7 linked regions of the Sus scrofa genome follow. The protein of the gene in region 1 purifies or fractionates together with the protein of each later gene. This does not show direct contact. Links are inferred from orthologs where the notes say so. Each region holds a gene or a part of one and is shown in the gene's direction. Other genes may lie near its edges.

The links.
Region 2: the proteins of BCL7C (region 1) and SMARCD3 purify together in Homo sapiens (affinity purification with mass spectrometry; 3 studies listed by BioGRID and IntAct, counting the BioPlex papers as one, with this or other methods). This does not show direct contact. The link is inferred for Sus scrofa from reciprocal best matches to the Homo sapiens genes BCL7C and SMARCD3.
Region 3: the proteins of BCL7C (region 1) and DPF2 purify together in Homo sapiens (affinity purification with mass spectrometry; 4 studies listed by BioGRID and IntAct, counting the BioPlex papers as one, with this or other methods). This does not show direct contact. The link is inferred for Sus scrofa from reciprocal best matches to the Homo sapiens genes BCL7C and DPF2.
Region 4: the proteins of BCL7C (region 1) and SMARCA4 purify together in Homo sapiens (affinity purification with mass spectrometry; 6 studies listed by BioGRID and IntAct, counting the BioPlex papers as one, with this or other methods). This does not show direct contact. The link is inferred for Sus scrofa from reciprocal best matches to the Homo sapiens genes BCL7C and SMARCA4.
Region 5: the proteins of BCL7C (region 1) and ARID1B purify together in Homo sapiens (affinity purification with mass spectrometry; 4 studies listed by BioGRID and IntAct, counting the BioPlex papers as one, with this or other methods). This does not show direct contact. The link is inferred for Sus scrofa from reciprocal best matches to the Homo sapiens genes BCL7C and ARID1B.
Region 6: the proteins of BCL7C (region 1) and ARID1A purify together in Homo sapiens (affinity purification with mass spectrometry; 5 studies listed by BioGRID and IntAct, counting the BioPlex papers as one, with this or other methods). This does not show direct contact. The link is inferred for Sus scrofa from reciprocal best matches to the Homo sapiens genes BCL7C and ARID1A.
Region 7: the proteins of BCL7C (region 1) and SMARCD2 purify together in Homo sapiens (affinity purification with mass spectrometry; 3 studies listed by BioGRID and IntAct, counting the BioPlex papers as one, with this or other methods). This does not show direct contact. The link is inferred for Sus scrofa from reciprocal best matches to the Homo sapiens genes BCL7C and SMARCD2.

What each region holds. Positions count from the first base shown.
Region 1 is NC_010445.4:17,546,158-17,550,345, forward strand, and holds the start of BCL7C (B-cell CLL/lymphoma 7 protein family member C), read left to right. Parts: upstream 1-1,388; 5' UTR 1,389-1,578; coding exon 1,579-1,670; intron 1,671-2,241; coding exon 2,242-2,320; intron 2,321-2,658; coding exon 2,659-2,767; intron 2,768-2,866; coding exon 2,867-3,028; intron 3,029-4,188. UniProt on the Homo sapiens protein: May play an anti-apoptotic role.
Region 2 is NC_010460.4:5,957,072-5,961,265, forward strand, and holds the start of SMARCD3 (SWI/SNF-related matrix-associated actin-dependent regulator of chromatin subfamily D member 3), read left to right. Parts: upstream 1-1,394; 5' UTR 1,395-1,495; intron 1,496-3,205; 5' UTR 3,206-3,307; coding exon 3,308-3,346; intron 3,347-4,194. UniProt on the Homo sapiens protein: Involved in transcriptional activation and repression of select genes by chromatin remodeling (alteration of DNA-nucleosome topology).
Region 3 is NC_010444.4:6,879,999-6,883,498, reverse strand, and holds part of DPF2 (zinc finger protein ubi-d4), read left to right. Parts: intron 1-1,991; coding exon 1,992-2,152; intron 2,153-2,550; coding exon 2,551-2,658; intron 2,659-2,986; coding exon 2,987-3,150; intron 3,151-3,500. UniProt on the Homo sapiens protein: Plays an active role in transcriptional regulation by binding modified histones H3 and H4. Is a negative regulator of myeloid differentiation of hematopoietic progenitor cells. Might also have a role in the development and maturation of lymphoid cells.
Region 4 is NC_010444.4:69,737,707-69,741,206, forward strand, and holds part of SMARCA4 (transcription activator BRG1), read left to right. Parts: intron 1-886; coding exon 887-1,013; intron 1,014-1,557; coding exon 1,558-1,731; intron 1,732-3,057; coding exon 3,058-3,231; intron 3,232-3,500. UniProt on the Homo sapiens protein: ATPase involved in transcriptional activation and repression of select genes by chromatin remodeling (alteration of DNA-nucleosome topology).
Region 5 is NC_010443.5:9,797,381-9,800,880, reverse strand, and holds part of ARID1B (AT-rich interactive domain-containing protein 1B), read left to right. Parts: intron 1-576; coding exon 577-1,360; intron 1,361-3,285; coding exon 3,286-3,416; intron 3,417-3,500. UniProt on the Homo sapiens protein: Involved in transcriptional activation and repression of select genes by chromatin remodeling (alteration of DNA-nucleosome topology).
Region 6 is NC_010448.4:84,115,729-84,119,228, forward strand, and holds part of ARID1A (AT-rich interactive domain-containing protein 1A), read left to right. Parts: intron 1-119; coding exon 120-252; intron 253-420; coding exon 421-596; intron 597-926; coding exon 927-1,077; intron 1,078-1,158; coding exon 1,159-1,299; intron 1,300-1,383; coding exon 1,384-1,480; intron 1,481-1,941; coding exon 1,942-2,833; intron 2,834-3,196; coding exon 3,197-3,327; intron 3,328-3,500. UniProt on the Homo sapiens protein: Involved in transcriptional activation and repression of select genes by chromatin remodeling (alteration of DNA-nucleosome topology).
Region 7 is NC_010454.4:15,094,926-15,098,425, forward strand, and holds part of SMARCD2 (SWI/SNF-related matrix-associated actin-dependent regulator of chromatin subfamily D member 2), read left to right. Parts: intron 1-1,864; coding exon 1,865-2,049; intron 2,050-2,241; coding exon 2,242-2,284; intron 2,285-2,443; coding exon 2,444-2,566; intron 2,567-3,500. UniProt on the Homo sapiens protein: Involved in transcriptional activation and repression of select genes by chromatin remodeling (alteration of DNA-nucleosome topology).

The sequences.
Region 1 (4,188 bases):
GTGACTCTTGTTGGGTATTTACTATGCGCAAGATGCTGTTCTAAGAGTTACATGTATATTAACTCATTCCCATGTTACAGCTGAGAAAATAGTGATAAGTGACTTGTTTGAGGTCACTGGACAAGCAGAGCTGGGATTTTACCCCAGCGATTTGGCCCAGAAATGATGTCATAACCACCTCTGAACATAGTCACACCAAAACACACAGACCCGAGAGCCACACCCTTGACACATTCACACACAGCAACACAAATTTAGAATGTCATACCTGCTGGCAAACACAGCCTCAAACAAAATCAACCAAGACACATGTATTTTAAGTAAGCTTTTCATTGACGTGCTATAGACACAGGGTAAAGTACACACATCCTATATGTACAGCTCCGCGAATTTTCCAAGAGTAAATATGCCGTGGGAACCAGCACCAGATTAAGAAACGGAATCTGACCAGTTCCCAGAGGCCCCTCTTAGCCCCTCCCAGTCCCCAGGGTGACCACTCTCCCCGGTGTTTCGCACCATTTATTGGTTTTGTCCAGAACTTTCTCTGAATGGGATCACAGGGCGTATTGCTTCTCTGACCTCTTTCACGAGACGTCCCCATGTTGTGTGTAGCAGGACATCACTCTCCTTGCCCTGTCGTCCATGGTGTGAACAGGCTACAATTTATTTTCCATGGCCCTGTGGATGGGTTGTTTCTAGCCTGAGGCGCTTAGGAACAGAGCTATGGACATTCCAGTACAGGTCCCTTGGGGCTCCTACCCACGCATTTCTGATGGGTGTTAACCATCCAGGAGCGGAACTGCTGGGTCACAGGGTTGGTGTACGTTCGGTTTCACTAGAAAAGCGCCAGCTTTCCAAAGTGTCTCTATCAATTTACACTCCCCCAGAAATATGAGAGGTCCAGTTGCTCTACTTCGCCTCCACTTGGCAAGGTCTCATCTGAGCCATTCTGGAGGGTGGAAGAGGCACTCAGTACATTTACAGTGTCTGGCACGTAACTGGCCCTCAGTTAATAGCCTGTAGAATGAATGGATGAAGAGATAGTTGCAGCGTAGAACCAGGCAGCCGAGCAAGGGACACACACACACGCAAACACACACACACAAACACACACACCGTTCCAGGGTCCACCCACGCGCAGCGGTCGCACCCGGGACACAGATCCTCTCGCGCCCCCTGGCGCCCACGTGGTCTGAACGCACGGCCGCAGCCCCGCCGCGCGCGTCCAGTCGCCGAGCTGCCCCAACCTCCCTCTCGGCCGCGGGCAGGGGGCGCTGCGCGTCCGGGCGCCTCGAGGCGGAGGCGGCGGGCCCGGTCGGGGCGGGGCCGGCCGGCTTCCAGGCCTGGGCTCTGGCCGCCCGCGCCGCCGGGCGGCTCCGGGGACGGGCCGGGGCGGGGCGCGGCGGCAGGAAGCGGGGCGGGGACTCGCGGAGGCGTTGGGGAGCGAGGGAGGGCGCGGCCAACTCCCGGAGGGGCGACAGGCCGAGAGAGCGGCGCCCCGGCCTGGCGCCGAGCCTGAGCCCGCCGGACGGGAGGCGGCCCAGCCGCGGGCTCGGCCTCGGCCCCAGCCCCGCCAGCATGGCCGGCCGGACCGTGCGGGCCGAGACCCGGAGCCGGGCCAAGGATGACATCAAGAAGGTGATGGCGACCATCGAGAAGGTCCGGAGATGGTGAGCGCTGCCCCGGGGGCCAGGGACGGGCCACGGCGGGCCATTCCTCCCCCGACACGTCCACACCCCCTCCGCCACCTGTGGCCCCCAGGTGTTAGGTGTGCCCCTCTCCCCCGCCGCCCCCAGCTGCGTCCTGGATCTGCAGGGCTCTATCTCTCTTCTCCTGGCTACACCCTGGGGTCTACAAAGCGTGTTCCCCAGCCCTGCCCTCCCAGAGCTGGAACCCCCCCTTTATGCCCCGCCCCCTAAAGCTTTGACACTCCTCCCGCAAGTGTGCCCCGGGATCTTCGAGGCTGTGGTCCCAGGCCTATAGTCGCGCTCTCCATGTATACCCCAGGGGTCTGCCGCGTCGTGACCCCAGCCTATTTTTTTTTCTCTCCCTCTCTCTCTTTCTCCCGCCCCCCACCTATGCCCTGAGGTCTGCCGGGCTTCTCCCTCCAAGTCCCATTAGCCACGCTGCCGCTTCTTTTGCGCACCACCCCCACCTCCACACGTATCCCCAGATACATCCAGCTCCTGGGCTGGCTCTCTCCTCAGGCCTCTCTGACCCCGTCCCTCCACCGTCCCACAGGGAGAAGCGCTGGGTGACTGTGGGTGACACTTCCCTGCGTATCTTCAAGTGGGTGCCAGTGGTGGACCCCCAGGAAGAGGTGAGCAAGCTCCCCCACACCAGGCCCTGCATCTGGGCCACCTCGGGCAAGCCCCTCCCGGCGGCTGGCCTCCACCTCCAGTCCCCACTTAGACCTTACATGCAGCCTCGGGAACAGATGTTAACAATTATTAGCAACTCCGCCTCTTTCCCCTCCCCCGCCACCAGACCCCCTGAGTTCACGGCCTAACGCCGCCGCCGCCGCCGCCGTGGCGCACAACCTGTCGCTCACGGAGGGCCTTCTGCTTCTCTGTGCCTCAATGTCGTTATTTGTTCAGTGGGGGCTTTGCAAGCACTAACTAGAAAGCTGACTGTAACCCTTCGTCCTCTAACCCCCAGGAGCGTCGGAGGGCAGGTGGCGGCGCAGAGCGATCCCGAGGCCGCGAGCGGAGGGGCAGGGGCGCCAGTCCCCGAGGGGGGGGCCCTCTCATCCTGCTCGATCTCAACGGTATGTCGGGGATGCTGGCTGGGCTTTGGGGCAGCGGTGGGGAATGAAGGAGGGGATTGGGCGCCTCAGACCCAACCCTTTCTGCTCTTGCTCCCACAGATGAGAACAGTAACCAGAGCTTCCATTCAGAAGGCTCCCTGCAAAAGGGCACGGAGCCCAGCCCTGGGGGCACCCCCCAGCCCAGCCGCCCTGTGTCACCTGCTGGACCACCGGAAGGGGTCCCTGAGGATGCTCAGCCCCCACAGCTGGGCCAGGAGAGAGGTAGGACCAGGTGCCTCCCAGGAACCTTCTCCTCTGTGTCTTGTCCTCTCCAAGGTTGCAGCCCCCCACTTGTCCTCTGTCTGGTCCCCCTCCTGTGTCGAGTCTTCTGGAGACCATCCCTGAGTCCTGTGGAAAGTGACTGCCTTTCCTCTAGGGCCTTTGGCCTTCCTCTGGCTTCTTTGGGTCTGTAGATAACTTATCACAGATTTTCATGTAAATTTAGCTTTTGAGTAGTTAAATATCTTTCTTCCCCATTCCCACCTCCTGTCCGCTTCCTGAAGGTTGGGCCCATCTTGATCCTGTTCTCGGCTGTATCCTCGGAACACTGCGGACCACCTAGCAGGTGCTCAAGAAATATTTGTTGAGGAATAGGTAATAATCAAAAGACTGATTAACAGTCGGTGATAGTTACAGCTAATACTTACTGAGCTCTTTCTGCGTGCCCGACACCCCGCTAAGCTCTTTCCATGTTTTATCTCATTTCATCCCCACTGCAGCCCTATGAGGGCTACGATCTCCATTGAGAGATGATATACCCGAAACCCAGAGAAGCTGCCCAAGTTCACCCAGCCAGCGAGCCAGGATCTTGGGCCTGAGTCTTCATCAGCTCCTCTTTCTTCCCGTAAAGTCAGTCCCCTGTCTGATCAGATCCATCTCTCAATGTGTCTGTCTGCCTTCCTCTGCCTGCCCAGGCCCTGTCGTCTCTCTAACCCACACCCGGCTCCGGCCTCCTCATGGGTCTGTTCCCCTCCAGCTGCACCCACACAGCTACCAGAGCATGCGTTTGATGGGGTCATTTTCCAGCTTCAGAACCTTCGATGGCTCCCTCTGACCTTTGACCCCTCAGCTTGGCACTCTGGGCCCTTCCCGAACCGTCCCCTGCTGACCTCACTGTTCCTTTCCAAGAACACCAGGACTTAGGCCTCCGTTCTGTGTCTGGATCGTAGCACACGCTCGTGTACCTTTACTGATATAAAAAACCATAATTGGCATTTCTCGAGCACTCACCGCATTAAAACCGTGTTAACGGTTTTGCCTGTGTTACCTCCTTTGATTCATACACCATCTGATGTGGTAATTACTATAATTATCCCCACTTGACAGATGGGAAAACAGGGTTAGAGAAATTAAGTCACTTGCTCGAGGTCAAGATTCGAACT
Region 2 (4,194 bases), on another chromosome or scaffold:
AGAATTGCCTCAGGTCGTTGGGTGGGGGATGGGGTGAGGGCTGCGTTCAGATTCAGACCAAGGGCAGGAATCTGAGGACCGCCCTTCTGCGGATTTGAATACACACCTTTCCGGATACCCAGGAGGAGCTGCTACTCCCAGAAAGGAAGAGGCGGGCTTTTCCGACCCCCACTCCCCCTGGATGATAAAGCTGTAGCCCACCTGATTCGTGGGGCAGAGCTTCCTTGCCTGCCTGCTGGCATCCCTCACAAGCGTCCTATCCTAATAAATCTATTTCTTGGCTATCACTGTGTCTCTCGCTGAATTCCTTCTGCACGGAAGCATAAAGAACCTGAACCTCAGTGAGTCCAGACCTCAGGTGAGTGCTCGTTTAAAACATGGGTTCAAGCCCCAATCTGTGTTCTGGCTAGGTTCAGGCCATTAATACTGTCAGTTTCAAATGGGTCAACAAAATGTGGTGTGTAAGAGTTCCCCGCGTGGCTCAGTGGTAATGAACCCCACTAGTATCCATGAGGATGCAGGTTCAATCCCTGGCCTCGCTCTGTGGGCTAAGGATCCAGCATTGCTGTGAGCTGTGGTGTAGGTGGCAGACTCAGCTCAGATTACAAATTGCTGTGGCTGTGGTGTAGGCCTGCAGCTGCAGCTCCAATTCCACCCCTAGCCTAGGAACCTCCATATGCCACAGGTGCTGCCCAGAAAGACTTAAAAAAAAATGGCATATATTCATCTGTGCATTGCATATATGCAGACAACAGGAATCTTCTCCTCAAAAGGATGGAATTTCTGACACGTTACAGCATGGATGAAGCTCAAGGCCGTTATGCTCAGTGAAATCAGCCAGTCGCCAAAGGGCAAATACAGAATGATTTCATTTGTATGAAGTACTCAAGAATAGTCAGATTCACAGAGACAGCCTGCGGAGTGACCAGAGCGGCTCCTCTGGCTGCAAGTCCAGGAAGGGATTCTCCGGGGCCAGCGTCCCCGCGGAATCGGTAGTACAGCCCGGAGGGACACAGATTAGACCAGGAGCGTGCACATGCATGACGGGGCGGGGCGGGGGCATCCGTCGGAGCCTGTCCTTGAACCTGGAGTGGAACCGAGGCCCTCTCCCCACTGAGAGTGTGTGTGTCTGTCTGTCTGTGGTCCCATGCGCCTAATGTCTGCGGTCACATCGGACCCTCTGAAGGTCTATGTGAATCCGCGGGCGCAGAGGCGCATCTACAGACGAAGGCACATCTGTGCACTGACTAAATGAACATCACAATGGGCCCGGCCAGTGCGCGCCGCGGTGCTCCAAGCGTGGCGATCGCACATTCGGATGGATGGGGCGACGCTGACTGCTCTGATCCCTAACTCATTATTAAGCTCCTCGCTCTTTGCAGACGCTCCCTGCGCCTCCCCCGCTCCCGGCAGCAGCGGCGCAGGCGCCGGGCCGAGCCGAGCGCCGAGCAGGGAGCGAGCGACCGCGCTCCGGGCCGGGGTCCCGGGGGAGCAGGTGAGCGACCCGCGCCGCGCGGCCCCCAGGCCCTTGGAGGAGACGCCGCCCGGCCGCGCTGCGCCGGCGCCCCGGCCTTCCCTGCTTGGCAGTACCCGTCTTGCCTCTACTGGCATCACCCCTCCTTCCTTTGCCTGGCATCCCTCCTCCCCCCCGCCTGGTACCTCCTCGCCTCCCGCCTGCCTGGCATCCCTCACCGCCCCCCCCCCCCGTCTGGCGTTTCCTTCCCCCCTCCCCTTGCCTGGCATTTCCCTGTTCTCCCTCTGCCTGGCACCTCCCTTCTTACCCCTTCCTGGCACCTTCCTCTTACCTGGCACCCCCTTCTCCCTGCCTGGCTCCCCCCCTCTCCTTTCCTGATCTCTCCCCCCACTCCTGACTCCCCTCGCCCCACCGCCCCGCCTGGCACCTCCCCCCACTCCCTTTCTTGCACCTCTTCCCTGACTGGCAAACTCCCATCCAGCCTCCTCTCTGATTCTTCCCCCTCCACGCCTCACCCGGCTTCTTTCCCTCCTCCCCTTACCTGGTCCCTCCCCTCTCCCCCTCCCCTGCATTCCCCCGTTTTCCCTTTGCCTGGCACTCTCCTGCCTGGTACCTTCCTCTCCTCCCTCGTGTCTGGCACCTTCCCTCCTCCCCAACTGCCTTGTACCTACTTGTCCCCAGTGGCCTGTCCCCTCCTCCCTGCCCAGCACTTTCCTGCCCTGCTCCTGACTGGAGCTTTCCTCCCCACCCCCTCCCTACCTGGCATCTCCCCCCCTCCCCCATGCTTGGCACCCCCACCCCACCCCTGCCTGGCCCAACCCCCTCCCCTGCCCTCCTCCTCCCCCTCCCCCCGCCTGTCTCTCCCCTCTCCCCCCTGCCTGGCCCTCTCCCTCCCCCCTGCCTGGCCCCTCCTTCCCTCCCTTGTGCCCCTTCCTCTTGGCCTCCTCTTGCCCAACACCTCTCCCCCATTCAGATTGTCCCTCTTCCTGCCAGGTACCTCCTCCCCTGCCCCAGGCTGGTAACATCCTCCCCTCTTGGCATCTCCCTCCTCTCACTGCCTCCCTGCCTCCTCACCCTTCTCAGAGTCACCCTCTGGCCAACACCCCCAGCACATGCCCCTGAACTGCTCCCAAGCCCCCACACTGCTCCCAAGCTACCACACTGCCCCCTCCTCGTCCCCCAACCTGCTGTCTGCCCACAAGTTGGGTTCTGACCCTAGCCCACCGCCTTCCTCCCTGGCAGGGGGTGACCACGAAGGCTGGGCACACAGGGAGGGCCCACTGTCGGCTGGGCAGACTACAGAGCGGGTTGGCTCTACTGCCACCCACCCCTAGCTGTCCCTTGGGACATCCTTGAGCTCCAGAAGTCATCCAGGTCCCATCCTGGCTGCCGGTCATGCCCTCCCCACCCCAGTGCCCGGCTCTCTCCTCCACTCTTGACAGGACCCCCCAAAGGTGCTGCCTCTGCCAGGGCCTGGGCTCTGCCAGCTCCTTGACTCGCATCCTTCCAGGCCTGACCTGTAGGCCTTGGTCTCTGACTGCTTCCTGCAGTCACGCTGCCCTTCCTTGTGCCACCCAGCCAGGCTGGCCCAGCCCGCCCCCTGCTCCCTTCCTACGCGCCTCCTGCCTTCCTCAGACCTTGTCATGGAGCTGGTCCACACAGCAGGCCCTTGTGAGTCTGGCTCTGGGGCTCGGGGTCTGGCCAGTCCCTCCCACTGCCCTCTCCTTTCAGATCCCCCCCAGAATGGCCCTTGGTGCTGCAGGCACGGTAGGCTCTGGGCCCGGGCACCGAGGGGGCACTGGATGACTCCCCCGCTGCAGGACCCTGCCACCTATGACTCCAGGCCTTCAGCACCCACCCGCCGTGGTACAGGTAGGCGCTGCTGCCCTCCCCCCACCCCACCCCCGCCAGCCCTGGAGCAGGAGCCTCGGGGTTCCACTGAGAGTCACTGGCTCTCAGCCTCTGGTCCTACCCCTGGGCCCCCTCTTGGCCCTTCTGCCCCGAGCTGGACCTGTGGCAGGGCCTCTTCTCATCCCCTACCCCAATTGGAACCTCTGCCCAGGCCCTGCTGGCAGCCACCTCCACACTGGCCCCCCCTCTTGCTCAGGGTCCCCTTACTTTCCACTGTCCCTGGGTCCTGCCTCTTGAAGCCAGTCGGAGCCAGGGACAAGTGAGCCTCCTCTGGCTTGTTCCATGTCCTCCCCACGGACACCCAGACACACGCCTTCTCGCCCCTCACCTGTGCGCGAGCGCACACACACACACACACACACACACACACACACACACACCCCAGCACACAGCTGGGAGGAAACCGCTGATCCTGGCACAACTTGGGCTCTGGAAACCTACCCCCAAACCTGCTATGGCGAACATCCGAAAGCTTTCTGGGACCCGGACAGGGGTTCGTTCCAGGCAGGAGGGGTGGCGTCCTGTGGCAGGGCCTCTGGTGGAGCTGGCCTTGCCCTGCCACCAGGCAGGCCTCCGGCTCAGAGGTGCTGGCTCTCAGGCCCGTAGTGAGCGCGCCAACTCCCGGCAGGCAGCGTGAGAGGAGACAGCCTGGCTAGTCCCCCGTCGGGGCCCCTGGTGCAGAAGGAAGCGCTGAGGCACCGTGTGGAACGGCCACCTGGCCCAGAGCCCCATTCATCTGCGTGAGGGTGGAGCTGGGTCCGAGACATGCCATCTGGGCTGAGCTCGGCCTGTCCAGCCCCCCGCCCCCG
Region 3 (3,500 bases), on another chromosome or scaffold:
TATCTTGTGGTCTCACTGCTTTGTGTGCAGTGTGTGGCTTTCAGTTTCTGGGAACGTGCTAAGCTGTGCCTTAGTGGTCTATTGTGGCTGCCCAGTGAAAGCCCCCCTCAAATTCCAGAGCAGGGTTTGTTGATGTAGCTTGAGTTATGGACATAAGCAACAGAAATTTGCTCTGTTCAGCTTTTCATGCTAGGAGTCTCCCTCTTGTAGAATATGTCAGAGCTTATCCAAGTTCAGCCTCCCCAATCTATAGCACAAGAACCGAAGGTCCATGTGGGTTGACTCATGTCTGTGCTTACGTGATAACTTGCAGCCAAACCAGGTCTTTTTACTCCCGACTCGGGTCAAGATGTCCCAGACACCTTCAAGGGTACTGAGGATATTGTGGGGATGAGGTCATCTCTGCCCTCCGCTTGTTTAAGATTGATTGAATAGAGTTCCTGTCATGGCTCAGTGGTTAACGAACCCTACTAGCATCCATGAGGATTCGGGTTCGATCCCTGGCTTCGCTCAGTGGGTTAAGGATCCAGCGTTGCCGTAAGCTGTGGGGTAGGTCGCAGATGCAGCTCGGATCCTGTGTTGCTGTGGCTGTGGTGTAGGCTGGCAGCTACACCCCCGATTCAACCCCTAGCCTGGGAGCCTCCATATGCCGTGAGTGTGGCCCTAAAAAGACCAAAAAAAAAAAAGATTGATCGAATATATAAATATGAATCACTGTAGTTAGTTTAAGCTCCAATACTAAAGTGCTTGTTAAATCTTTTTTTTTTTTTTTTTTTTTGTCTTTTTGCTATTTCTTTGGTCCGCTCCCGCGGCATATGGAGGTTCCCTGGCTAGGGGTCGAATCGGAGCTGTAGCCCCTGGCCTCCGCCAGAGCCACAGCAACGCGGGATCCGAGCCGCATCTGCAACCTACACCACAGCTCACGGCAACGCCGGATCCTTAACCCACTGAGCAAGGGCAGGGACCGAACCCGCAACCTCATGGTTCCTAGTCGGATTCGTTAACCACTGCGCCACGACAGGAACTCCTGCTTGTTAAATCTTGAAGGATGTGCAGTTTTGCAGCTTTTTAAGCACTTAGAAAATTCACATCTCAAATTGAGTCCAGAAGGTTCCTTTCCTTAAAAATTTGATGGTGTGAGAGTGAAGAAGGGCCTAGGATGGGCGTTCGAGCAAACAGGTTTTGTCCCAGAATTATGGTACTCAGTAGAAACTAGGCTTCAAGAGTGTTCAGGTATTTTCAGATGTTTTCCATTGATTGTGAAATTAGTATGTAGAATTAGTTGAATAAATACCTACTTTAAAATTCAAAAGATACAAAATGGCACATAGGAGAAAGTCCCCTAGTCACCTGGCTATTCTTTTTGGAGGCCTACAGTTTCTTTTCTACCACTTGGCTGCATAAATGGTAGATTGGAGATTGTTGGAGATTGTTTAATATTAGTACATGAAGAGCTTCCTTTTTTTATGGCTAAGTAGAATTTCATTGTATAGATATAGTTTATGTAGATAAAGTTTATATAAATGTAGTTTGCTAACTATAATTTAGTAAGTCCCCCAGTCCTTTTGAACTCTTTTCTCATTTGTAAAAAGGAGGTAACCTCTCCTCAGAATCCTGAGGAGTAAGAGAAATAGCATCTTGGCTAGCGCAGGGTTGAACTCATGAGAGGCACAGAATGAACATTATTTTCTTCCCTTCTTCATGGGTTAGACTAAGGTCTGATGAGACATGATGAAATCACGTGTTCCCGACAGTAATTTTTTTGTAAAGTGCCTTTCCTCTTAATGGCATAGTGAAGGGGCTTGGAGTCCCATGAGGCAGAAATGGAAGCAAATAAAAGCAGAGTGACAGTCTCCCAGTCCCTTGAGCCTTCTAGAGAAGCAGGTGGCAAAGGAAAGGGAATGCACAGCGCCTCACACCCCTCCCCCAACACACACACACACACACACACACACACACACACACACCCCTGATTTTTGTGTTTCCTGCAGCCTTGGGGAGCAGTATTACAAAGATGCCATGGAGCAGTGCCACAATTACAATGCCCGCCTCTGCGCTGAGCGCAGCGTACGCCTGCCTTTCTTGGACTCACAGACTGGGGTAGCCCAAAGCAACTGTTATATCTGGATGGAAAAGCGACACCGGGGTCCAGGTGAGGGTCCCACTCAGGAGCACGAGGAGAAAGAAGCTTCCTCACCTTAGGTGATGAGCCATCTGAAAGGGTTTTCCCTACTGCTTTACACCCATGGGTGACTGGTTTCCCATGATTAGAAGCCCGTCCAGGAAGGATGAAGCATCTTTGCTTTCTGCAGGGCTACACCGCTGAGGCTCCTGTTGGGTTTTGGAGAGCTGTGTGTTAGCCAAGGCCCCTGAGCTTACATCTGTTTTTCTTTTCCATAAACCATGCCTCCCCCAATTGCGAGGCCCTCCCTGTCCATATTCCTCCCTTGCTCTAGAACTCAGTCAGAGCCTACTCACATAGAAAGTGTTTGGTATTTATCATTTTCTATGACTGGGGGTTGGGGCTTGACTTCTTTCTTCCTTCCACAGGATTGGCCTCTGGGCAGCTGTATTCCTACCCTGCCCGGCGCTGGCGGAAAAAGCGGCGCGCTCACCCTCCTGAGGATCCTAGGCTTTCCTTCCCATCTATTAAACCAGGTAAAGCGCACTCCTCCTTGAGCAAGGGCGTGGCCTGAAGCATAGTAAGATGCCTGCTAATCACCTGTTGTATTCCATGCCCCATGCTAGGTCCTAAAGATAATAGGATGAATAAGATGAGATTCTTTTCTTTAAATAACTCAGTCTAATAGAGGAGACAGATAAACAGATAAGTTAATGGTGCCAAGTGAACTACAGTGCCTTGGTTTCTGGGCAGCCATAGACCAGGAGACAGGGACTGGCTTGTGGCTAGTCTAGTCCTGTGTAGACCTGGAGAGGTCCTCTTTCAGCCTTTATGAGCCTCACCTAACCCTGACCTTGCTTGCAGACACAGACCAGACCCTGAAGAAGGAGGGCCTGATCTCTCAGGACGGCAGTAGTTTAGAGGCTCTGCTGCGCACTGACCCCATGGAGAAGCGAGGTGCCCCAGATCCCCGAGTTGATGATGACAGCCTGGGCGAATTTCCTGTGACAAACAGTCGAGCACGGAAGGTACAAGAATAACACTGTGGTTAAAGGGGCTTTGATGGAAACCATCTTCCTCCCCCAGAGGCCACACAGCAGCCCGAATAGAAGTGGACGCTGTGGGCCAGGAGGCGGGTCCCTGGAGTTCTGTTCCTGCACCACCTACCACTCCTTCTCAGTATAGACTCTCACTCATTCACTTTTTTTTTTTTTTTTTGCTTTTTAGGGCTGCACCTGTGACATAAGGAAGTTCCCAGGGGTCGAATCGGAGCTATAGCTCATGGACATAGCCATAGCAACGCTGCATCCCTAACCCACTGAGCAAGGCTAGGGATCAAACCTGAATTCTCATGCATACTAGTCAGAGTCATTTCCGC
Region 4 (3,500 bases), on another chromosome or scaffold:
CCTGTTTCTCCATTATGACTTGTTCAGGGCTAGCCTCCCTTGGTAAATAAATATTGGCTCCATCAGAGGAGGGGGCTGTGCCTTGTGCACCATAAACTCCCCAGATGCACCAGGAAAGCTTTGCCAAATGACCGTCTCCAGAGTGCATCTCCAGCTGTGCTGTGCCCTGGAGCTCCAGCCCCTATACCCAGGCACCTCCCCATCTGGACGGCTTAAAGATGGCCTGTCCAGATGGTGGTACACCCACCCACTTTCCCCTCCTGTCTCTGTTCCCATGCACCTACCATCCTGTAGCTGAGTGGACCGTGGCCCCCGTGGCCCCTTGACCCTTGCTTGCCCTTCCTCATCCCTGATGTCCGCTTGGTGAACCCTTTCAGCTTCCTTACCCCCAGCGCCTTTCACCTTGCTGTCTGGTCTATGCCTCCTCCCTGCTCTCATCCTTACCTGTGTACTGTTTCCCATACAGGTTTTTTGAAGTCTCTTTTTACAGTTAGCAACCCTGGAGGGTGCTATGAAGGGTCTCCCCACTTCACACCTAAGGACACTGAGGCTCAGGGGCTAAGTAGATTCCCAGGGCTGGGATGGAGACACTGGCTGCCTGATTCCAGAGCCTGGCTCCCACTGCTGAAATGGCAGAAGCCTGCTGCGCCCTGTCAGGTTTCCTGTTTGCCGTGGCTCCCGAGACCTCTGCAGCTGCTGTCCTGTGTGTAGTCTGTGTTGTGTGGCCTCCTTTTCTTAGCCATGTCCTGTCTTGTGACCAGTAGCAGCCTCCTTCAAGGGTTGGATTCTTCTGAGGTTCTGGCTTTAAAGAAAAGGAAGAGGTGTGTTCCTTATAAACAAGTGAGACCTCCCATCACCTGCTCTTCTTTCTATCTTTGCACTCTAGGCTGCAGGCTCGCATCGCACACCGAATTCAGGAACTTGAAAACCTTCCCGGGTCCCTGGCCGGGGATTTGCGAACCAAAGCGACCATTGAGCTCAAGGCCCTCAGGCTCCTGAACTTCCAGAGGCAGGTGGGCGCAGGCGCAGCTGATGCTTTAGGAAAAGAGCCCTTTCTGTCAATGTTACTGCTTCAGGTCTTTAAATGCACCCTGACCATTAAAAGCCTCAGTGCTCACCCACATTCATTAGGTCACTGTCCCCCCCCTTCCTCTGCACATCCTGCCCAGTGGAGGAACTGCTCAGTGAAGGCACAGGCTGAATAGACGTGGGTCTTCCTTAAGGCGGCAGTGACCAGCTTGAAGCAGGGAACTTAGATGGGTCTATTGCTGAGGGTCCTTTCCTTTTGAACAACCAATAAGAAATTTTGTTTGATTGTGGTTGAGGGAGGGTAGAACTGGAGACCTGAGGTGTGAGAGTGTTCTCTGCCGGGTGTCCAGAAGCAGCCATCTCCCAACCCGAGGGCCTCACCATGTGTCCTCCCCGTGCACACATTTGTGCTCATGGGTCCTTCTGGGAGCGGGAGCCTTCTGCCCAGCTTGCCATGTGGAATTGTGCATGTCATTCAGATGTCGCGGAGTTGTACCCGTTACCAGTTTCTCCTCTTCCTTCCTGAAGCTGCGGCAGGAGGTGGTAGTGTGCATGCGGAGGGACACAGCCCTCGAGACGGCCCTCAATGCCAAGGCCTACAAGCGTAGCAAGCGGCAGTCCCTGCGCGAGGCCCGCATCACCGAGAAGCTGGAGAAGCAGCAAAAGATTGAGCAGGAGCGAAAGCGCCGGCAGAAGCACCAGGTAGGTCCCTGCAGCTGCGCGTTAGCCTGCCCACATGTCCAGGGTGTCAGCTTGTAAGCTGCTGAGCCTTGGTTTATCTGTCAACACACTGTCTGTGTCTCTTTTCCGTTTGTTATGTCAGTATTCTGAGCATTAAAAATACATCAGGGGACAAAGCCAAATAGTAGAATCAGATGCGTGTATAACATGTTGGAAGTTAATAGGGTGTAAGGAAGCATGAAGTGAGGCTAGAGCGTGATGGAGGATGGTCCGTCTGGGAGGTCCTCCCTGAGCAGGTGAGCTCTGAGGCCCAAGGGAGGGAGCCACCAGATGTGTGTGTTTCCAGATAGAGGGGAAGGTGCAAAGGCCCTGGGGCTGGTTGTGTCCCACTGCTCTGTGAAAAGCAAGGATCCAGTGTAGTCAGTGGAGTGAGCAAGGAGGCGAGCAGGAGGTGGGGAGAAGGGGGAGGTGATGGGCAGAGCATGCAAGGCTTCCATGGGGCGAGGGGATGACTTGGGCTTTCACTCTGAATGAGATGAGAGCCCTGGAGGGTCCTAAGCAGAGGGAGTGATCTGGCAGAGGTTGTTACAACATCAGTAAAGGAAACCAGAATCTCTCCTCAAATAGGATTTGGGTTGATTTTGTTGATATATGTTTTATGAAGTTTTCTCCTATCAGTATCTATTACTGATACGGTTTATGATAACAAAAAAGTCAGTGCTCAGTGTTAGCCTCTGTTAACATTTTGGTATATATCATTCCAATCTTCTTTTTTCTTACATATAGTAATCACAAGTTAAGCAGCCACTTTTTAAAACAACATACACATGTTGACCTGTTTAGAGTATTGTTGAAGCATGATTTTAGTGTCTACATTGTAGTCCTTCTCAGTATGTCCAGCATCCAGTAATTTATGAAACCATTTCCTACTGGGGGACATGCAGTATATTTTCAGCTTTTCAATATTAAAAATAACATTGGGATAGACTTTCTTATACTTGAATTTGGGGGCCAGTCTCTGCTCTTTTCCTTGAAATAAATCCCTAGCAGTGGAGTGATTTGGCTGGCAGGCAGTTGTGTTTGGAAGCACTTGGCAGACAGTGCCAGGTGGTCCCAGCCCAGTGGAAGCCCTGTGGACTACCCCATCTACTGTGCACGAGGGAAGGCCCTTCACGCCACAGGCCGGCATGGAGTTTTATCCCGACGCAGAGAATGCTGGACTTCATGGGCATAGGGTCGATGTGTTGTTTAGATTGTGCCCTCTGGGTTTTCACCAAGCTACCTTTGATGTTCGATGCAGCGACTCCTGTCCTGTAGTCAGTCTGCTCTATTGTGTGCTTCCTACAGGAATACCTCAACAGCATTCTTCAGCATGCCAAGGATTTCAAAGAATATCACAGATCAGTCACAGGCAAAATCCAGAAACTCACAAAGGCGGTGGCCACTTACCACGCCAACACAGAGCGGGAACAGAAGAAGGAAAACGAAAGAATCGAGAAGGAGAGAATGCGGAGGCTCATGGTACAATTGGCCTTTGTGACCCGGGTTCCTTTGTGTGTGTGTCTCTCTCTCACAAGCATGGGGATTGACTGCCCAGGATTTCGCTGGGGTATTTTGCTGCTCAGAGTTAGAAGTGGGACAGAGGAAGAGAGGGCTTGGGTTTGGGAGTCCGAAGGACCTGTCACCAGACCTTTGCCGGGCCACTCCAGCCGTCAGTGACCACAGGTTTGCTGGATGCTCTGTGCTCTCTGGAAATTGGAGGTGGCAGCCCCTTCTGATGGAAGAGCCAC
Region 5 (3,500 bases), on another chromosome or scaffold:
AGGAGGAGAGCTTCCTAACGGGGGCCACACCAGCCAGCCCTGTCCTCAGAGGCTTTCATGGCGAATGTGACCCGGCTGAGCCGGCAGCCGGGGCGGGGGCCACAGGGCCATTCTGAGGAGCCAGTCCTGCGTGGAGGCTCTTCTGTAAAGTTGGGCCCAAGGAGTCTGTTGGACCGCGGCGCCCTCCGGGCTGGCCTTCAGAATGCTCAGTCCGTCCCCGCGACATTTCTCTCTACCTATGAAGTCGTCCTAGCGCATCTCCGAGCCCCGGGGCGGCCCTGCCTGTGCAGTGGTCTCCAAAGCCATGCTCTCCCAAATCGCAGCCCTGGAAAATACCAGGCAGGAAGGCTTTTGCTCCACCTGCAGACAATTTCGCACGCACGCGTGCGTGGGAACAAACTGGGCGCCCCGTCCGGGCGCCTGGCGGGGTGAAGGCGCGCTCCTCCGCTGCTGCGGGAGCGCCCCGTGCTCCTTTTGAAAGGAACGCTCCACCAGGTACTAACTGTTTTGTCTAACTTAAGTGTGGGTGATACCTGTAAAAGCACATCGGTGTGATTCGTCTGTATGACTTTGCAGAATTACAAGCGCCATATGGACGGCATGTATGGGCCTCCCGCCAAGCGCCACGAGGGAGACGTGTACAACATGCAGTACGGCAACCAGCAGCAGGAGATGTACAACCAGTACAGCGGTTCCTACTCGGGCCCGGACCGGCGGCCCATCCAGGGGCAGTACCCGTACCCCTACAACAGAGAGCGGATGCAGGGCCCGGGCCAGATACAGCCCCACGGCATCCCGCCCCAGATCATGGGTGGCCCGATGCAGTCGTCCTCCAGCGAAGGGCCTCAGCAGAGTATGTGGGCCACGCGTAACGATATGCCTTACCCCTACCAGAATAGGCAAGGCCCCGGCGGCCCTGCACAGGCACCTCCCTATCCAGGCATGAACCGCACGGATGATATGATGGTACCTGATCAAAGGATAAATCACGAGAGCCAGTGGCCTTCTCACGTCAGCCAGCGTCAGCCTTACATGTCCTCTTCAGCCTCCATGCAGCCCATCACTCGCCCGCCTCAGTCCTCCTACCAGACGCCACCGTCACTGCCAAATCACATCTCCCGAGCGCCCAGCCCCGCGTCCTTCCAGCGCTCCCTGGAGAGCCGTCTGTCTCCCAGCAAGTCCCCCTTCCTGCCCGCCATGAAGATGCAGAAGGCCATGCCCACCGTCCCCACGGCCCAGGTCGCGGGGCCGCCCCCGCAGCCACCCCCCATCAGAAGGGAGATCACCTTTCCTCCCGGCTCTGTGGAAGCCTCACAGCCAGTCTTGAAACAAAGGCGAAAGATTACCTCAAAGGATATCGGTAAGCATTCCTCAGACGGACTCCGGTTGCCATCTGGAATGTCAGTTTGAGGGTAGATGTGGTCCCCTAATCCCAAAGGGCTGAAATTCTAGGATCGCACCCTCCCAGGGCGTATTTTGGTGCAGGAGCAGTAGTTGGAAGCCCCTAATCTGAACTAAGCCCCGGAGTGAGCATTAAAACGGCACCTTTACGTGTGAATGTTGTTTGTGTGAGAAGGGAGAGCAACCGGGGAGCTCCAAGGGACTCCTTGTGACTCCCTACTGTGCTTTGCTCTCAAAAGATCTAAGCTGAACCCAACACTTCATCTCTGCCCTGTGTGCTTAACAGAACAGCTCCAAGACTGCAGAAATGCTAGCGTGGCCTGCGAAATTTTGCTAGAAAACCACTCTGTAATTTTGGTAATAACCTACAGACAGTGAGTTTCCCTAGGAAAATATAGAAGCCTGGCTGTGGTGTGTAGCTAGGTAACATGATAGGCTCTATGAAATTTTCTATGGTACGATATGTAGGATTCGATATAATCTCTGTAGCACTGTTGATATGGCCCAAGGAACTCTTTCATTTGAATGCTGATGTCACCTGTTCATTCTGCGTGAGATGTTCTGAATACTAATTAGAAATTTGGAATTTCTGGGATGACACTACCTTTTTCTGCATTTTTTTTTTTCCCCACACCCGTGGCATGCAGAAGTTCCCAAGCCAGAAATCCAACCTAGGCCACAGCAGCAACCAGAGCCACAGCAGTGACAGTGCTGGATCCTTAACCTGCTGAGCCACCAGCGAACTCCCTACATTTTTTTTTCCTTTTTTGGCCACCCCAAATCATATGGGGTTCCTGGGCCAGGGATCAGATCCACGCTGCAGTTGCGACCTACTCTCCAGGTGCAATGCTGGACCCTTAACCCATTGTGCCAGGCCGGGGTGGAACCTGCATCCCAGCGCCACAGAGGTGCTGCAGAGATGCTGCTGATCCCATTGTGCCACCGTGGGAACTCCTCCTGCATTATTTTTTGAAGTACTTATAACACAGCAAAGGAAATAATAGAGCTTAATTGTATCAATTGTATAAATTGTAGAGAAACTCAGGGTCCTCATTTTAAAATGAAAGTTTGCCTTCTCTGTTAAAAAGTATTATGTGTCTATCTTAGAAACTTTGAAAACTAGATGAAATTAAACCGAAAGTGGCAACCCGCGGCCCCTCCTGCCCTTGGGATCACTGTTGGTCTGGCCTGGCTGCTGCTCTGGGGGTTCTGACAGCACAGGTCTTCCCGCACCCGCTGTTTCTGCCGGCTTCCTGAGACAGCTTCCCTTTGAACTCTCAGACACATGATGGGACTCCCCTCCGAGTCCCGTCTTGTGACAGACCTTGCAAACCTTTCCTCTCATCGCTGTGGCTTCATCACTAAGAGGAATGGGGAAAACAAAAGTCCAGCCCATCCTCTGGCTCAGGCCGAGGTCCTGAAAATTCTGAACCATCAAAGTGCTAGTACCTGTCAACAGCGTGTTCTGCAGGCAGGAGCTCAGAGGGAAGACGGTGTGGGAGAGCGGAGACTCCGTATCTGAGCTTGTGCTGTTGGGGAATGAAATTGTGCCTATATTCTGCCTATTTGCCAGCCTTCTGAAGACGTCACCTTGAGACAGTTGTGAATGGAGCAAAAGACAAATACAGAAAGGACCGTTTGTGTTTAGCCACCCCTCCCATTTAACCTGCAAAGCAAAAAGCTCTTCGGCTGCAGAAGTTTCTCAGGGCAGCCCGTCTCCCCATCTCAATCCCGAAATGACCACGTTCAGCTGTCCCGAAGAGCATTTGTTTAAAAGTCCATATTTCACGTCACCCCCGCCTTCTTTTTCTGATTCTCTGGTTCTTTTCTCTCCTCTGTGCTTAGAGGCAGTATTAACCCCGCCGTCGTTTTTTCCAACTGCAGTTACTCCTGAGGCCTGGCGTGTGATGATGTCCCTTAAGTCAGGTCTCCTGGCCGAGAGTACTTGGGCTTTGGACACTATTAACATTCTTCTGTATGATGACAGCACGGTCGCTACGTTCAATCTCTCCCAGGTAAGCCGGCGCCGGTCCAGCCGAGGACCAGCACAGAGTGAGAAACTGAAGGAGCGCGTGGTGCCCGAGCCAACGAGCGCTCAC
Region 6 (3,500 bases), on another chromosome or scaffold:
GAGAAGGGTGACAGACAGCTCTAGCCTCATAACAATCTTTTTCATAGAGATTCTGGGACATTTGTGTGTTTCTGTGAGGGTTAAACGCTTTCCTGCTTACCCTGCATCTCTGTCCACAGCGGGATCAGGGTCAATGCAGGGGCCACAGACACCTCAGTCAACCAGCAGTTCCATGGCAGAAGGAGGAGACCTGAAGCCACCAACTCCAGCATCCACACCACACAGCCAGATCCCCCCATTGCCAGGCATGAGGTGAGGCCAGGAGCAGGGGCAGGTGCTTTGGGGAATCCTGGGCCCGAAGTGCATGAGCTCCTGTGCAGCTCAGGGGGTCCCTGGTCTCCCGACCAGTGAACCCATGTGCCTCGCGTTATTGGAGTAATAGCTTCGTTTGGGGTCTAATGAGCTTTCCTCACTCTTGAGCAGGAGCAATTCAGTCGGGATCCAGGATGCCTTTCCTGATGGAAGTGACCCCACATTCCAGAAGCGGAATTCCATGACTCCAAACCCTGGGTACCAGCCCAGTATGAATACCTCTGACATGATGGGGCGCATGTCCTACGAGCCAAATAAGGATCCTTATGGCAGCATGAGGAAAGGTGACCAACTGCAGTTGGCCTTGTGTCCTTCAGGACAGGGCCAGGGGATGGGGGGATATCTTGAGAGTGGTTCAAGGTTCCTATTGAACCATCCTCTGAGATGAGGCACTTCTGGACCTAACCCCCTCCTTCATCCTCCTTTTTTATTTCCTGCTCTTCACCGTGTCACCCCTTTACATGCCTCTTTAGATCTCTGTTTCAATCCTGTCAGAAAAATAGTTGGAACAAACCTGAGCTCTGAGAGGTCCTTGGCCTTTGGGGCAAGCAAAGTATAGGTTGTTAGGCCTGCTGAACAACCACTTTGCTCACTGTCTTCCCTTTTGCTCTCAGCTCCAGGGAGTGATCCCTTCATGTCCTCAGGGCAGGGCCCCAACGGCGGGATGGGGGACCCCTACAGTCGAGCTGCCGGCCCTGGGCTGGGAAATGTGGCGATGGGACCTCGGCAGCACTATCCCTATGGAGGTCCTTATGACAGAGTGAGGTAAGCATGGCCCCCACTCCAGTCCCACCCCAGACCCCACGGCTAGCACGGACTCAACCTGCTTCTCTGCTTTTTCTTTAGGACGGAGCCTGGAATAGGACCCGAGGGAAACATGGGCACTGGAGCCCCACAGCCGAATCTCATGCCTTCCACCCCAGACTCGGGGATGTATTCTCCTAGCCGTTACCCCCCACAGCAGCAGCAACAGCAGCAGCAGCAACGGTGAGTGAAGCTTGGTCTTGGTGCTGCTGTGGCTAAGGCTTTTCGCCATCCCACCCTGATCCTCTGTTTCTCTCCTTCCTGCAGACATGATTCCTATGGCAATCAGTTCTCCACTCAAGGCACCCCTTCCGGCAGCCCCTTCCCCAGCCAGCAGACCACAATGTATCAGCAGCAGCAGCAGGTGAGAAAGGTAGTGGGTGGGATGACACTGGTTCCTCTGAGAGCCAGTTAGAAAACCTTGGTCAAAAACTTGAGATGGTTTGGTGTTCTTCTTCCCAAATAGCCATTTTTGTCTAAAGAGCCAAGCCCTCAATCTTCTCCCTGTTTGGAGTCTAATCCAGTCTCTAGTTCTCTGCAAGTGTTAGAAACAGGCCTTATTTTGATTTTTAAACTTTGCTACGTTTTTCTACGTAGAGCAAGGGAGAGACAGAGGGAACAAAGAATGGTTCTTACTTTCAGAAACAATTTCAAAAGATAACGTGTAAAGGTGATTCTTTTGTTCCCATGGAATCTGTGTCCCCTCCTCTCTCAGAGGGGCAGAAGTAAGCCCAGTACGTGTCTGATGTAGCCATCTTGTCAGCTGTAGGTCTCCTATCCCCGGGTTCAGAGTATTAATTTCCCCTCTGCTTGTCCCTATCTTAGAATTACAAGCGGCCAATGGATGGCACATACGGCCCTCCTGCCAAGCGGCATGAAGGGGAGATGTACAGCGTGCCATACAGCACGGGTCAGGGGCAGCCCCAGCAGCAGCAGTTGCCCCCAGCCCAGCCCCAGCCTGCCAGCCAGCAACAAGCTGCTCAGCCTTCCCCTCAGCAAGATGTGTACAACCAGTATGGCAACGCCTATCCTGCCACTGCCACTGCTGCTACTGAGCGCCGACCAGCAGGCGGCCCCCAGAACCAGTTTCCATTCCAGTTTGGCCGAGACCGTGTCTCAGCACCCCCTGGCTCCAATGCCCAGCAAAACATGCCACCGCAGATGATGGGCGGCCCCATACAGGCATCGGCTGAGGTTGCTCAACAAGGCACCATGTGGCAGGGGCGTAATGACATGACCTATAATTACGCCAACAGGCAGAGCACGGGCTCTGCCCCCCAAGGCCCTGCCTATCATGGCGTGAACCGAACAGATGAAATGCTGCACACGGATCAGAGGGCCAACCATGAAGGCCCATGGCCTTCCCATGGCACACGCCAGCCCCCATATGGTCCTTCTGCCCCGGTGCCCCCCATGACGAGGCCCCCGCCATCTAATTACCAGCCCCCACCAAGCATGCAGAATCACATTCCTCAGGTATCCAGCCCCGCTCCCCTGCCCCGGCCAATGGAGAACCGAACCTCTCCTAGCAAGTCTCCCTTCCTGCACTCTGGGATGAAGATGCAGAAGGCAGGTCCTCCAGTACCTGCCTCGCACATAGCACCTGCCCCTGTGCAGCCCCCTATGATTCGGCGGGATATCACCTTCCCACCTGGCTCTGTTGAAGCCACACAGCCTGTGTTGAAGCAGAGGAGGCGGCTTACAATGAAAGACATCGGTAAGGAGACCTCCTTGATTGGGTTGCTGAATCTGCCCCTTTGCATCTTGTTCATTGTTCTCTCTCCATCCCGATGTTCTGGATGAGTTAAAAGCAGGTCCAGTGTTGACTAAAAGAGAGTCCAAGAACTTTGGGTAAGGAAGAAATCATCTGATATCAGGCTTTACTAAAGGAATCGCCACACAGTGATGTCCTAAGAGAGCTTAGAAGCCCTGAGGGGCAGATGTGTGTCATCTCCCAGATGGGAACTGCCTCTCACCATGTGTTCTCTTCAGAGTAGCCTGACTGATGAGCCAGCTCTGGGGTGGGAGGGCCCCTGCCAACCTGGGCTTGGTGGATGGACGACGTGGAGGTTTATTTCAGGAACCCCGGAGGCATGGCGGGTGATGATGTCCCTCAAGTCTGGGCTGCTGGCAGAGAGCACATGGGCATTAGACACCATTAACATCCTGCTGTACGATGACAACAGCATCATGACTTTCAACCTCAGTCAGGTGAGTACAGGTGCCTGGGGAAGATTGGGAAGGCCTAGGATCTTCTTGACAAAGACAGTGCTAAGCGACCAGGGAATTAAGCCATCCCTGGTCAACATGATCTCCTCCCACTTGTTCTCTGATACCTTTCGAGCCAGTACTTTGCCAGCAGCCATGGGCCCCCAGTACTGAGA
Region 7 (3,500 bases), on another chromosome or scaffold:
TAAGCAGCTTTTCCCTGGGCCCCTTCCCCCTCGGGAGAAGCCTGGGGCCCGGCGCGAGCTGGGGGCTCTGCACCTGGGATCTGGAGCAGCATCTGGGAGAGGCCTCTTTCAGGCCCTGCCTGTGCCACCCGGTTTGAGGACTTCCTGTTCCAGGAGCACCCGCCTGGGGTGGTTGTCGCTGAGGAGGTTGTGCGGATGCCCTGGCAAGGAGGCCTTAGCCTTCTCCCTGCAGGTCTGCCGCTTTGGTTGTTCTTCCCCTTCAGCTCAGGCGCTGGGGGGAAATTCACGTCTAGGGTGCTTGGGGCTGGGCTTACAGCTGTGGCTCCCTGAGTTTTTTTCTGTCATCTCTAGCTGTGGCTCATTAAGGCAGAGAAACAGGCTGTCTTTTGCCTCTCGTGAGCTCAGGTGAATCTCTTCCTGATGAAGGGAACCTTGTGGCGGGACTCCAGGTCCCAGAGCCCCCCACGTGTAACTCCCTCCTCCTAGCACTCCTTCCCCCTTCCCCGTATCTTTCAATCATGTTTCTCTCAATCTCTGCATCTGCTCAAGAATCTGACCCTCCTTGGTGAGAACATGGGCCGAGTGCTAAATGAAGAGAAGTGGGAATCTCGTCTCCGTGATGTTGGGGTCGGGGTGAGGGTCTTTTGATTTGGTGCGAGTCCCACCCAGCCTGGCTTGGTTGGCTGGTTGTGCTGGTTGCATAATCTGGGCCCTGGGGCCAGCCCTGCGAAGCTGCCAGGGACAGTGTGTGCGCGAGGCAGAGCTGCCAAACAGGCCTTGCAGGAGCAGCCATGACGAAGGGGGCGGGAGTTACTCCCACATGGGCTCCACGGAGGTGTTGGGGAGCTGGCCCTCGGTGGGGAGTCCTTCTGCAGGCCTCTAAAGAAGCCACCTCTCACCCAGTTTCCTCTGGTGACCCTGAGGCTTTGATGCCTGCATCCCGGGATAATCTCATCTCCATTCTCCAGCTTGGGATTGCCAGGGCTACGCTGAGCCCGAGCCAGCCCCAGTTGCCAGGTGGTGCGTGGACCACGGGCAGAGTGCAGGTGCCAGCTGCTCTGTCTCCCACAGGCTGCTCAGGAGCCACAGCGTCCCCTTTGGGATGTTCTGGCGTAGGGGTTGGGGGCCGGGAAGCAGGGAGGTAAGAGAAGGGTCCAGTTTTGAGATGTGAGTAGGGGCCATATGGCGACCAGATGGTCTCCGTACTCTGCCTGAGGCCACTCCCCCACTTGGGACACGTTCCAGGCCATCCTGTTGCAGTTTGCTCACCTGGGGTGCCATGGCCTGGTGGGCCTGCCAGCCAGTTGGACTGCCTTTCTCCCCTCAATCACATGACCAGACTGGGTGCTGGGGCTGCGCCCCATCAGCCTGCTCTTATCACATTACTCCCACCACCTGGCAGGGACACTGCCCCCAGGCTTCTCCCTTATGCTGGGAGAAGGAGAAGGATGGGAGTGTTTGGTGGGACCATCAGAGTTGTAGGAGTGCCTTGAAGCTGGCTGGTTCCAGGGAGCAGGGCAGTGTGTGCCAGGACTGCAAGGTGGTTAGAAGGTGGTGATGGGCCCTGAAAAGGTCCCCAGGCCCTTCTTCTCTCTGCAGGCAGGATTCTCCTCCCACCTGCTGGGCTCTGCAGGCCTCATTCGCTGGCACCGCTGCCAGGGCGGTTGAAAGGGGTGGGGCAGGTGTGGTTTACACTTCTGCTCTCGGGCGTCTGCTCCCCTTTGTTCCTGGCACTCCTGCCCGGGCTCTGCCGTGAGCTGCTCAGGGCTGGGCCTGGCTGGGCAGAGGGATGGAGGGAATGGGTTATGGGCCCCGAAGGGCCCCGCTGCTGACCTATGCACCCCCACTGGCTCACTTCCTCCAGCGGCCTGGCATGTCACCTGGGAGCCGGATGCCCATGGCTGGCTTGCAGGTGGGACCCCCTGCTGGTTCCCCATTTGGTACAGCTGCTCCACTTCGACCTGGCATGCCACCCACCATGATGGATCCATTCCGAAAACGCCTGCTTGTGCCCCAGGCCCAGCCCCCGATGCCTGCCCAGCGCCGGGGGTAAGACCATCCTGTTTCTCCCACCCCACCTAGAATCGGCCTGGTGGTAACAGGGTTTCCTTCAGTCCTAAGAGCTGGGATGACTGAGGAAGACGCCCGGTTCTCTTGGGAGAAGGTCCTGGGGGCTGGAGAGGTAGATGGGGGGGAGGTCCTCTGGACCACTGACCTCTTAAGTGGGTTTCTGTCCTCCAGGTTAAAGAGGAGGAAGATGGCAGATAAAGTTCTACCTCAGCGAGTGAGTTTGTTGGAAGGGGGCCTAGGAGGCCCGTCCAAGGGCTGGTTGGCTGGGGCTGGAGTCAGTCTCCCCCAGCCCTGGGGTGGGGGAGGAAAGGAGGAAGGAGCCGGAGCCGCACCTGAGACAAGCCGATGAATCCCTTCTCCCTCCTTCCTCCAGATTCGGGAGCTTGTCCCAGAGTCTCAGGCGTACATGGATCTCTTGGCTTTTGAGCGGAAGCTGGACCAGACCATTGCTCGAAAGCGGATGGAGATCCAGGAGGCCATCAAAAAGCCTCTGACGGTGTGTGCAGCCCTGGACCACTCCTGGGCCTTGCCCAGCTTCTCTGCCCCTCCTCTCCCGACGTGTTTGCCAGGGGCCAAGTGAGGGTCTGCCGCAGGCTGGTGCAGGGTTTTTCATTCTGCAGGGTCCAGCTCACGGAGCACGAACTCAACATCACGTGGGGGCCAGCATGTTTTTAATGAAAAGCCAAAGAGTAGGAATTACAGTAATTCCTCACAGAGTAGAGGAATTATTTTATGATGTTTTGGTTTCTGACATTTATACACGTGTGTGCATATCCTGGATCAGGCATTAAAACGTACATACTGTAGATGATGGTCAGAAGCTTCAAAGGCAGGACTTCCTGGTGGTGCAGTGGGTTGAGGATCCAGCAGTGTCACTGCTGTGGCTTGGGTCACTCCTGTGGTGAGGGTTTGATCCCAGGCCCAGGAACTTTTGTACACCCCAGGGGCAGCTGGAAAAAAAAAAAAAAGATCTCAAAGGCAGAACTACAGGGTAGATAAAGATGGTTCTTACCTTCTTCCCAGAGCAGCTTTTTTTTCTTTTTTCTTTTTTTTTTTTTTTTTAATAAATAATCTGTAACAGTCCCTTCAATGTAGAAGGCTTTCCAGGAGATGATATTCTGGGGCCGCGAAGGGTGTTTGAGTTTCGTTAAAAATATGAGCCAGAGTGAGTTCCTGGTCTGGTGCCATGGGTTAAGGATCCGATGTTGCCACAGCTGTAGCCTAGGTTGCACCTATGGCTCAGATTCAACCCCTGGCTTGAGAGCTTCCACAGGCAGTGGGTGCAGGCCAAAAAAAAAAAAAAAAAAAGGAGCCAGCCAGAGGCTTCTGATTTGCCTGAACCTCTGTCACTCTACTGAACCACCTGTGTTGGAATTGTTGGCTTTTTGGCAGTGCATCTGTCTATCTTACAAAACTGAGTTCCTTGAAGG